2 linked regions of the Arabidopsis thaliana genome follow. The protein of the gene in region 1 interacts with the protein of each later gene in a biochemical or structural test. Each region holds a gene or a part of one and is shown on either strand. Other genes may lie near its edges. The genes, in order: CKB1 and CCA1.

The links.
Region 2: the proteins of CKB1 (region 1) and CCA1 form a complex in vitro, tested with the Arabidopsis thaliana proteins (one study listed by BioGRID).

Annotation. Positions count from the first base shown.
Region 1 is NC_003076.8:19,123,912-19,128,552, reverse strand, and holds CKB1 (casein kinase II beta chain 1), read left to right. Parts: upstream 1-1,858; 5' UTR 1,859-2,155; coding exon 2,156-2,393; intron 2,394-2,564; coding exon 2,565-2,783; intron 2,784-2,927; coding exon 2,928-3,037; intron 3,038-3,118; coding exon 3,119-3,284; coding exon of another isoform or gene 3,285-3,322; exon of another isoform or gene 3,323-3,453; coding exon 3,454-3,584; 3' UTR 3,585-3,990; downstream 3,991-4,641. Other genes in the region: AT5G47090 (coiled-coil protein), read right to left, coding at 60-796, 1,084-1,279. UniProt on the Arabidopsis thaliana protein: Plays a complex role in regulating the basal catalytic activity of the alpha subunit.
Region 2 is NC_003071.7:19,243,404-19,249,468, forward strand, and holds CCA1 (circadian clock associated 1), read left to right. Parts: upstream 1-2,187; 5' UTR 2,188-2,469; intron 2,470-2,553; 5' UTR 2,554-2,601; coding exon 2,602-2,640; intron 2,641-2,719; coding exon 2,720-2,831; intron 2,832-2,919; coding exon 2,920-2,981; exon of another isoform or gene 2,982-3,348; intron 3,349-3,459; coding exon 3,460-3,654; intron 3,655-3,741; coding exon 3,742-3,915; intron 3,916-3,998; coding exon 3,999-4,880; intron 4,881-4,951; coding exon 4,952-5,314; 3' UTR 5,315-5,512; downstream 5,513-6,065. Other genes in the region: PSI-P (photosystem I P subunit), read left to right, coding at 326-482, 573-694, 782-868, 954-1,016, 1,275-1,312, 1,410-1,467; DUF4 (hypothetical protein (DOMAIN OF UNKNOWN FUNCTION 724 4)), read right to left, coding at 5,788-6,065. UniProt on the Arabidopsis thaliana protein: Transcription factor involved in the circadian clock and in the phytochrome regulation. Binds to the promoter regions of APRR1/TOC1 and TCP21/CHE to repress their transcription. Binds to the promoter regions of CAB2A and CAB2B to promote their transcription.

The sequences.
Region 1 (4,641 bases):
ATATAACTCTGCAGGTAACGAGAGAGAGAGAGAGGAGAGATCATATCTTACATATCCAATTAGTCTTCATCAAAGTACTTATCTTCAGCGTCACGGCCAATCTCTCGAAGCCAATGATCATCAAGAGTCTCGTCATTGTCTATCTTTGCGTAATCCAAATGTTGATGATCTTCTCCCGATAAGAACTTCTGTTCCATGATTGATGTGAACTGATCCATCATATCTTGCATCTCCTCTGGCGGTAAGACTGTTGTTGCCTTCTCTTTCTGTTCTTTACCATTCAGACTTGAAGAGCTAGCTTCTGTAGGATTCTTCGCTTCTTCATCTTCTTCTTCTTCCTCCTCTTCTGATTCCTCCTCTTCCTCTTCTTCTGATTCCTCCATCTTCTCATTACCAACCCAATCACTCTCTGAAACACCTAACCTCTGCTGCTCCTCTCTAATACGAGTAACCAACACCGCTTCCTCAGCCCGTCTCATCAAAGTCTCAGACCAACGTTCTCCAGGCCTAGCCATGTTCCTTCCCATCACATCCTGAAACTTCCCAACATACTCATGATGTAGATACGGCTCTCTATCTCTCATAGCATCCTCTGAGAAATACTGTCCCTCGGATACAAGCTTATTCAAATAAGCCAATCTCCTATTCCTCACAGCTACAGACCTCGATTTAATCTCTTCTGAAGTCGGACTTATCTTCTTCCGCAGGTTTTTCAAATGCCAATCAACCTCGTAGTCATGTTTCATAGCATCAAACTCAAGCAATTCATCTACTAGTAGCTCCGATCCATATCTCTCTGAAATCATCAAAGCAAAAACAACTAATGCTTCAGTTCCCAAATCATATTTAATAAAAAAGTTTCATTCTAATAACATTACACACTCAATACTTAGATGATTATGAAGCCAAAACTCATCTATCTACTAACCTATGAACTAACCTAAGGACTAAAAACTTAACCTAATGAATCAATAGTTTCACCAAGTACTTAATTAAGGACTAAAAACTCAGTAACACATCCAATCATACTTAGACAAAATTGAAATTAGAATCGAGGAATTGGAGCAGAATAATGGAAAGTACCTAGAAAAACGGCGGGATCACGACGGAGGAGGTCGAGGAGGATGGATTTGCGTTGGTCGGAAGATGCAGCGGTTAATTGGACGGCGCGTGGAAAATAGAGATTGTCGAGAGAAGAGAGTCTCTCCGTTATATCTTCCGCCGCCGTGCCTTTCATTGTTGTTGCTTCCATCTCCATCGTCTTCTTCTTCTCTTCCATTGTTCTCCTCTCTCGGACTCGACCGACTGACTAAAGAAAGATGTAAATCGTCTCGTTCATGTGCTGGTCACGTGACAAGACTTTGCCGGTGTTCATCACCTGTTGGGCTTTCTTGGGCCATTTAAACCACTAATTGATGTTTTGGATGATGAATTGGTTAAAAGACAAATCGGTCATTTTTAAAACAAATTACAGCAAGAAAAACTGAAAGATTATCAAAAAAAAATCTAATAATATACGTGACATGAAAGATTATCATTAGTAAACTGTAAAAAAAAATCTTAAAATATTGTAATAATGTATGTGCCAACTATGTTATTAAAAAGACAAAAGAAATAATACAAAATTTTTTATTCTTTTATGTAAGTAATTTATGTCTATCTTGTTAAGTGAGCATATTTCTAAAAACAAATGTGGGCAACATTGGCAAAATGGCAATTAAAGAAACAAGAGCGGTCGTTGCTGTGCAGTGAAATGCTACGTGTTGAACCAGAAGTTAGTGGTTAGTTCGATTCGACCCATCTCTCCCACTACTTTCTCTCTAGTGGCTAGCTTAGCTACCGATTCACTCCCTCGTCTCCGGGAGCTCTTTATTTCTCTATTTCCCATTTTACCCCTATAATTTTTTTTCAAATCAAAAATTAAACGGTGACCAAAAAATAAAATAATAATCTTTCTCTGTACGAAACAGACTAGTTGCGAAACGCGAAAGAACAAGATTCGACAAAAGCTAAAAATAAAATAAAAGAAGAAGCAAAACCCTAGAGCTCAAGGTAATCGCCGTCGATTTCTCAATCTCTCACCGGCGATTACATGCCGATGAAAGTTGTACAATAGCTGCTGTAAGAGAGAGATTTATCAGGTATTTTTAGAATCATGTATAGAGACAGAGGAACGGTGAATTCGAGACCTGAAGTTGTGGATCGTAAACGGATCAACGACGCTCTTGAACGTCCTTCTCCTTCAACCTCTCGTCAAGTTAACGGCAAAGGCAAAGGAACCGTTACGGCGGCGACGACGACGGCGAACTTGATTGGGAAGCAGCAGTCGAATAACATCAACCATAGAGATTCTCGTTCTGCTTCTCTCTCGAAGAACAATACGGTTTCTGATGGTTAGTCTCTCTTGCTCTATTGAAATCGAATCTACATTTAGAAACAGATACTTAACCCTAGAGTTTCCTGATTTGGGAATCAAGTTTTGATCTTTATGTTTAGTATCTTATCTCCATGAGCTGAATTAAGCAAATTCCTTTATTAGCCTATGGAATTTTTGATGTGAATAGATGAATCAGACACAGATAGTGAAGAATCAGATGTGAGTGGTTCTGATGGAGAGGACACTTCATGGATATCTTGGTTTTGTAATCTAAGAGGAAACGAGTTCTTTTGTGAAGTTGATGATGATTACATTCAAGATGACTTCAACTTGTGTGGACTCAGCAGTCTAGTTCCCTACTACGAGTACGCTCTTGATTTGATTTTGGATGTTGAATCTTCTCAAGGTAAGTTGTTATCCTTTTATTAGTTTTTGCGGTTTAGCTAGGTACAGGCACAGCATCTGCATTTAGGGATAGTAGGGAAACCGATATGGGTTCGCTTTTACGATTGTGTCTCTTGAATGTTTGATTTGGATTGGTCGGTAACAGGAGAGATGTTTACAGAGGAACAGAATGAATTGATCGAGTCAGCAGCTGAGATGTTGTATGGACTGATTCATGCTCGTTACATATTGACTAGCAAAGGATTGGCAGCAATGGTAAACAAAATCCTTAAACACTCATTTGCATGTCTTTCACATTCTATAAAAGATTCACAGATTGATTCTGTTTATTTGCAGTTAGACAAATACAAAAACTATGACTTTGGAAGATGTCCAAGAGTTTATTGCTGTGGCCAACCTTGTCTTCCGGTTGGTCAATCAGACTTACCGCGATCTAGCACTGTGAAGATATATTGCCCGAAATGCGAAGACATTTATTACCCACGATCAAAGTATCAAGGCAGTATCCTTTTTTCTACAGTTTCACTTCTGCTGATATAGAGTTATATAAATGCAGTTCTGAAAAACTTTGATGTTTGATTCTTATTGCATGAAGAAATGATTTTTCTTTTGAGTTTCTAGTGATCTTTGGTGTTACCTTTTTTTGCGGTTTTCCTTAAAAGAATGAACAGACATTGATGGAGCTTACTTTGGGACAACGTTTCCACATCTGTTCCTGATGACTTATGGGCATCTCAAGCCAGCGAAGGCAACACAAAACTATGTTCAAAGAGTGTTTGGGTTCAAATTACACAAACCGTGAAGGAAGTTTGACGACAAAACCCAAGGATCAAGATCATGGCGTTGGAATGGAACTGAGAAAAGAAGAGACGTGTGTGAACAGAAACGGAAAATAAAACGCACTGTAATCACACGAATGGTGAAGAGAGCATTCATGTCTCTATTTGTCTTCAGGTACATACACATTAGAAGAAAGCAAAAGCATGGTTAGAAAGAAAAAAAACACGAAAATCTTTTAATGAGTTTGTTAAACTTGAACATGTATTTTTCTACCTTCTGTAAACTTTTTTATTTTGTTTCTTTTCTCAGTGTCTGATTTAGTCATTTATCATTTAAAAAAGTATCCATTAAAATTTATCAAAGATTTCAATTTGTGAAGGAAGTTTAAAGGGTTGATTTGGAATCATTAAAATTATGTTGTTGTGGTTGACCGTCTGAATTATTGACCTACTTTCGTATTAATCAATTTTAATATTGTACTTATAGACCAATATGACTCAATCCAATAAATGTAAATATTGACTAAAAGTCACACGCTTTTAATAAAATTATTTTGGAGCTTTAGAAAGACGAGACGAGACCATATATGTGTCAAAACATTTTCAACGATTCAAAGCGTAGGATTATTTTATAATCTTAGGTAAACTATACAATTGCCTACATAGCAACTTTCATATTTAATCGGATTTTACCTCTCTATATCTATTTTTTTCAGTGTTCCATGATAATAAAAAGAGAATCGAAACTATTATACGAAAAAGAGAGCATATGATATTTAAAATGAAAAACAACAAAATATTAATTTGATTTTTTTCCTACCGGCACAAAATATTAATTTGATCAAGAACAAAATATAATAATATTTATCTTTACTTGTTTGTAAAGCAGTCACTAATATTTTTAAAACTCATAATAAATATCTAAAAACAAATTCTATTATCTTGTTTGACTAGTTTTTGTTGTCTAAACTTGACTAGCTTTATATCAAATTGATACTTTCCACTTGTATATATATATATGTTACTAAGAAAACATATGGATACTATAAAAAATATATTTGTTACTAAAAACTATCCATA
Region 2 (6,065 bases), on another chromosome or scaffold:
TAGACTATAGTATAGTAGCAAGAGTGAAATTTTGTTTTCAAGAATTGAGTCCTAATTTTATAAAAGGAGCCAAAAAACCCAATTCTATCTAATCCAATGAAAACTCCAAGATCGTCTCTACGTCCGCCACGTCAGCACTATCCTGATCGGGAAACCCAAAACGAGTGGTCGAATAGTTTCCGACTGGTAACAGAGAAAGCATCTCCACAATCCCCAAAATTCTTTCAACACTTGCTCTCCATTAATCTTTTAGATAATAAACCTAATTGTTTCTGTTTTGTTTTTGTTTCTGTGAGATTCTTCCGAGGCTTGAAGCTCAATAGCTATGGCTTCTCTTTCAGTCTCTTCCTCTTCAACCATCATCGATTCAAGAGCTCCTCCTTCTCGACTAGCCTCCGCCTCCGCCTCTTCTCCGTCGTGCATTTCACTTCCCACACTTCCGATTCAGTCTCATACCCGTGCCGCTAAAGCCACTGCTTACTGTTCGTTTTCCATAAATCTGAAGATTTTTCTTTTCACTTTTAATTTCGAGTTTAAAGTTTCAAACTTTCGAAATGGGTTTTGGTTTTTAGGTCGGAAGATTGTGAGGAACGTTGTGACGAGAGCTACTACTGAAGTTGGTGAAGCTCCTGCCACTACTACCGAAGCTGAGACTACTGAGTTACCTGAAATCGTCAAGACTGCTCAAGAAGCTGTAAATACTCTTACTTTATTTATACAATGATGATTCTACCTCTTGCTTCTGGGTTACATGTACTGAATTTGGTTGTTTGGATTGAAGTGGGAGAAAGTGGATGACAAGTACGCTATTGGTTCTCTTGCCTTTGCTGGTGTAGTGGCTCTTTGGGGTTCTGCTGGAATGATTTCGGTGAGTAGAAGAATACTACTTTCTTCTTAAAACCCTAGTGTTAAATTTCCTTTATTTGATTCCAAAATTTGTTATTGTGAAACAGGCAATCGATAGGCTTCCATTGGTTCCTGGTGTTCTTGAACTTGTAGGCATCGGTTACACAGGAGTGAGTTTCTTCTTCTCTTTGTATCACTTGAACCAAAGCTCTCATGAACCTGTTTTGAGGATATAGATGATTCATCACTTCACTTTTGGATTTAGGATTAGTTCTCTGAATTTAGAATCCGAACATCTGCAATTCATATGGAGATATGATATCAGAAATTGATTGCTGCTTCTCGCTAGTGTTTCAATCTTAAAAGACGTGTGTAGTTTGTTTCAATTGTGTGATGGACCTTATTAACATTTGGTTTTTCTATGGCAGTGGTTCACTTACAAGAACCTGGTCTTCAAACCAGACAGGTTAACCAATTCTCTCTTTAACTCTGTGTTTGGTTGCATGTAATACTGAGAATGGAAGACTCAAATTCTCGAGGAAATTGTTTGTTATCTGTTTCAGGGAGGCTTTGTTTGAGAAGGTCAAGAGCACATACAAAGACATATTAGGGAGCAGCTGAATCAAAGGAGGAAGAAGAAGAAGAAGAGCCTTTTTGAGGCCATTCATGAATTGGAATGAAGGATATCAAAAGAATCTAACACAAAGGCCACGTCCTTCCTTCAATCTTTCCTTCTTGTAACTAAATAATTTTCATCCTTTCTCTCTCTCTGTCTCTGGTCTTTTTTAGCTCAAAGTATCATCCATTTATGTCAAAGTGTTGTAAATTCCTCAAGACTATATATGAGATGTTTTGTTTCATTTTCCAAAATTTCAAACTTTGTCCCCATTTAGTCTTCTACCCTTCATGCATGGTTAGCTTAGCTTAATGCTGAACTGTTGAATAACGATATGGGCCTTATGCTAAAAGAACAAAACCTTATGGGTCTAAAAAAAATAAGCCCAATATAAAACTATGGCCCAAATAAGTTTAGGTCCATTAGAGTGTGAGAATAGCGCGTGTAGTGAACCGCACGAGAATGCGCGTTCGATTGTTGGTGAAGTAGTCGTCTAGATTCCCGGGTCCACTGATGTTTCTAGTGTATCAGACACGTGTCGACAAACTGGTGGGAGAGATTAACGATCTTAAGTAGGTCCCACTAGATCAAGATATTATAACGAATTGACCTTTTTAACCTTTCAGGTAGTCCCGGAACTCGTGGCCTAGAATACAAAGAAGGTTGTGAACAAGTTGATGTTAAGATGGACAAGAATGTAACTTGAACAAAAGCTGAATCATCTCTTCAGCCACTAGTATGTTGACATATGGCAGTTTCTTTTGTAGCCTCGAAATAAATAAATTAAAAAGTTTGAGGTTAAAGATAATTATAGTGGCTGAGATTTCTCCATTTCCGTAGCTTCTGGTCTCTTTTCTTTGTTTCATTGATCAAAAGCAAATCACTTCTTCTTCTTCTTCTTCTCGATTTCTTACTGTTTTCTTATCCAACGAAATCTGGAATTAAAAATGGAATCTTTATCGAATCCAAGCTGATTTTGTTTCTTTCATTGAATCATCTCTCTAAAGGTACTTAAGATTGATTTATTGTCATGGTCTTTCTTATTGTTTGATGAATAACTTGACTTGATTGTTTTTTGTTTTGTGGATTAGTGGAATTTTGTAAAGAGAAGATCTGAAGTTGTGTAGAGGAGCTTAGTGATGGAGACAAATTCGTCTGGAGAAGATCTGGTTATTAAGGTAAATTAAACTAAATTTTAGGGGGAAGATGATTGTTTTAGGTGTCAAAGATTGAGAATTTTAATGAAACTTGATATAGACTCGGAAGCCATATACGATAACAAAGCAACGTGAAAGGTGGACTGAGGAAGAACATAATAGATTCATTGAAGCTTTGAGGCTTTATGGTAGAGCATGGCAGAAGATTGAAGGTTGATTTTTATTTCCCTTTATATGTCTTATTTTTTGTGTTTGCAGAGGTTTGTCTTCAAACTGATTTGCTTTTTTTCATTTGGACAGAACATGTAGCAACAAAAACTGCTGTCCAGATAAGAAGTCACGCTCAGAAATTTTTCTCCAAGGTAAAATCGGTTAATTTTGAAATGATGTTCTCATCTTCATTGGCTTAATGCTTAAGACTTATTGAAAGCCAGGCAAGTTTTCTGCTTCTTTTGCTTCTTAGTCAGGAGATAGATAGATTACGTTTTTAGAGTTTAGTAATGAGCAATAAGTCTTAAAATAGTTGGAGAAATGACGAGATGTAATCGTTTTCTTTTGTTTATGCCTATATCTTGTTAATCCACAAACATGTACATAGATTCTTCAGAAGAATGTTAGTTTCTTTAGATTCTTCAGATAAACTTGTGTCTTCTTACCGATTCTGAGGTAGTGGCAAAAGTGGGCTGAGTGCTAGAAATTTTTGAATGTTCCTTGTGATAAGCCATAGAGGTAAACCATTTTTGATTTTCCAGTTCTGTCATTTAAACTTGTTAGTGTCATTAGATTTTTGTTTGTTTACGTTTGTTTAGAGGGTAACAAAACTACTCTCATCTCTCTCAGGTAGAGAAAGAGGCTGAAGCTAAAGGTGTAGCTATGGGTCAAGCGCTAGACATAGCTATTCCTCCTCCACGGCCTAAGCGTAAACCAAACAATCCTTATCCTCGAAAGACGGGAAGTGGAACGATCCTTATGTCAAAAACGGGTGTGAATGATGGAAAAGAGTCCCTTGGATCAGAAAAAGTGTCGCATCCTGAGGTGATTTTCATGGTCATATGGCATCTTTTTGCAGTGTGTCACATTGCTCCTCATGTTATTAATACAGATTGTGTGCTTCGTTTATAGATGGCCAATGAAGATCGACAACAATCAAAGCCTGAAGAGAAAACTCTGCAGGAAGACAACTGTTCAGATTGTTTCACTCATCAGTATCTCTCTGCTGCATCCTCCATGAATAAAAGTTGTATAGAGACATCAAACGCAAGCACTTTCCGCGAGTTCTTGCCTTCACGGGAAGAGGTAAAAAACAATCTTTCATTGCTATTTGAGGTTTTAAGACGATTAGTACTTTTCATGAAACTAAAACCGTGGGGGAATAACAGGGAAGTCAGAATAACAGGGTAAGAAAGGAGTCAAACTCAGATTTGAATGCAAAATCTCTGGAAAACGGTAATGAGCAAGGACCTCAGACTTATCCGATGCATATCCCTGTGCTAGTGCCATTGGGGAGCTCAATAACAAGTTCTCTATCACATCCTCCTTCAGAGCCAGATAGTCATCCCCACACAGTTGCAGGAGATTATCAGTCGTTTCCTAATCATATAATGTCAACCCTTTTACAAACACCGGCTCTTTATACTGCCGCAACTTTCGCCTCATCATTTTGGCCTCCCGATTCTAGTGGTGGCTCACCTGTTCCAGGGAACTCACCTCCGAATCTGGCTGCCATGGCCGCAGCCACTGTTGCAGCTGCTAGTGCTTGGTGGGCTGCCAATGGATTATTACCTTTATGTGCTCCTCTTAGTTCAGGTGGTTTCACTAGTCATCCTCCATCTACTTTTGGACCATCATGTGATGTAGAGTACACAAAAGCAAGCACTTTACAACATGGTTCTGTGCAGAGCCGAGAGCAAGAACACTCCGAGGCATCAAAGGCTCGATCTTCACTGGACTCAGAGGATGTTGAAAATAAGAGTAAACCAGTTTGTCATGAGCAGCCTTCTGCAACACCTGAGAGTGATGCAAAGGGTTCAGATGGAGCAGGAGACAGAAAACAAGTTGACCGGTCCTCGTGTGGCTCAAACACTCCGTCGAGTAGTGATGATGTTGAGGCGGATGCATCAGAAAGGCAAGAGGATGGCACCAATGGTGAGGTGAAAGAAACGAATGAAGACACTAATAAACCTCAAACTTCAGAGTCCAATGCACGCCGCAGTAGAATCAGCTCCAATATAACCGATCCATGGAAGTCTGTGTCTGACGAGGTACTTACTTGGACTAAAGATCAACTTCCTTTATTTCAAATCATTTTCTCATATAAATATTGTACATTCAGGGTCGAATTGCCTTCCAAGCTCTCTTCTCCAGAGAGGTATTGCCGCAAAGTTTTACATATCGAGAAGAACACAGAGAGGAAGAACAACAACAACAAGAACAAAGATATCCAATGGCACTTGATCTTAACTTCACAGCTCAGTTAACACCAGTTGATGATCAAGAGGAGAAGAGAAACACAGGATTTCTTGGAATCGGATTAGATGCTTCAAAGCTAATGAGTAGAGGAAGAACAGGTTTTAAACCATACAAAAGATGTTCCATGGAAGCCAAAGAAAGTAGAATCCTCAACAACAATCCTATCATTCATGTGGAACAGAAAGATCCCAAACGGATGCGGTTGGAAACTCAAGCTTCCACATGAGACTCTATTTTCATCTGATCTGTTGTTTGTACTCTGTTTTTAAGTTTTCAAGACCACTGCTACATTTTCTTTTTCTTTTGAGGCCTTTGTATTTGTTTCCTTGTCCATAGTCTTCCTGTAACATTTGACTCTGTATTATTCAACAAATCATAAACTGTTTAATCTTTTTTTTTCCAACCTGGAAAGAACTTCACTCAAGGGGCTCTTGTTCTTGATATATGCAAACGACAGAGTTCCAAAACGTAATCTTAGCCCATCCATCACCCTTAAGTTGTCTCATAACTCATAAGTAAGCACAAAAGCACCACACAAATAAGCAAACTCTACTTCCTTATGTCATCACATAAATAGAAAGGCAAGCAGCCAAAGGCAAGCAGTAGCAAGTACAACAGAGTTGTTACAAAAAAGGATTAAATAAAAACAGAAGTTATAAGGATAAATCCAACCACACCCATGAAATGACCCCATATCTTTTATTTGGCCGTCTCCTTGTCTTCAAAGCTGCTTTTGCACCTCACCAGACTCTTTTTCAGCTTGCTATAATCATCTGCCATCTCTTTCTCCATCCCTTTTTGTTGTCTGAGGGATTCACGTCTCATCTTGCGGAGAACTAACAGCGTGAGGACCTGTGATAAAGGTTCTGCAACGTCGAAACCCTGCTCCTCGAACATTTTAAATGTCTCTCTGTAGACATCTAGTTCACTTTTTGGAGTGTCCTCACACATACCATCTACTGTCTTTACACAATCGA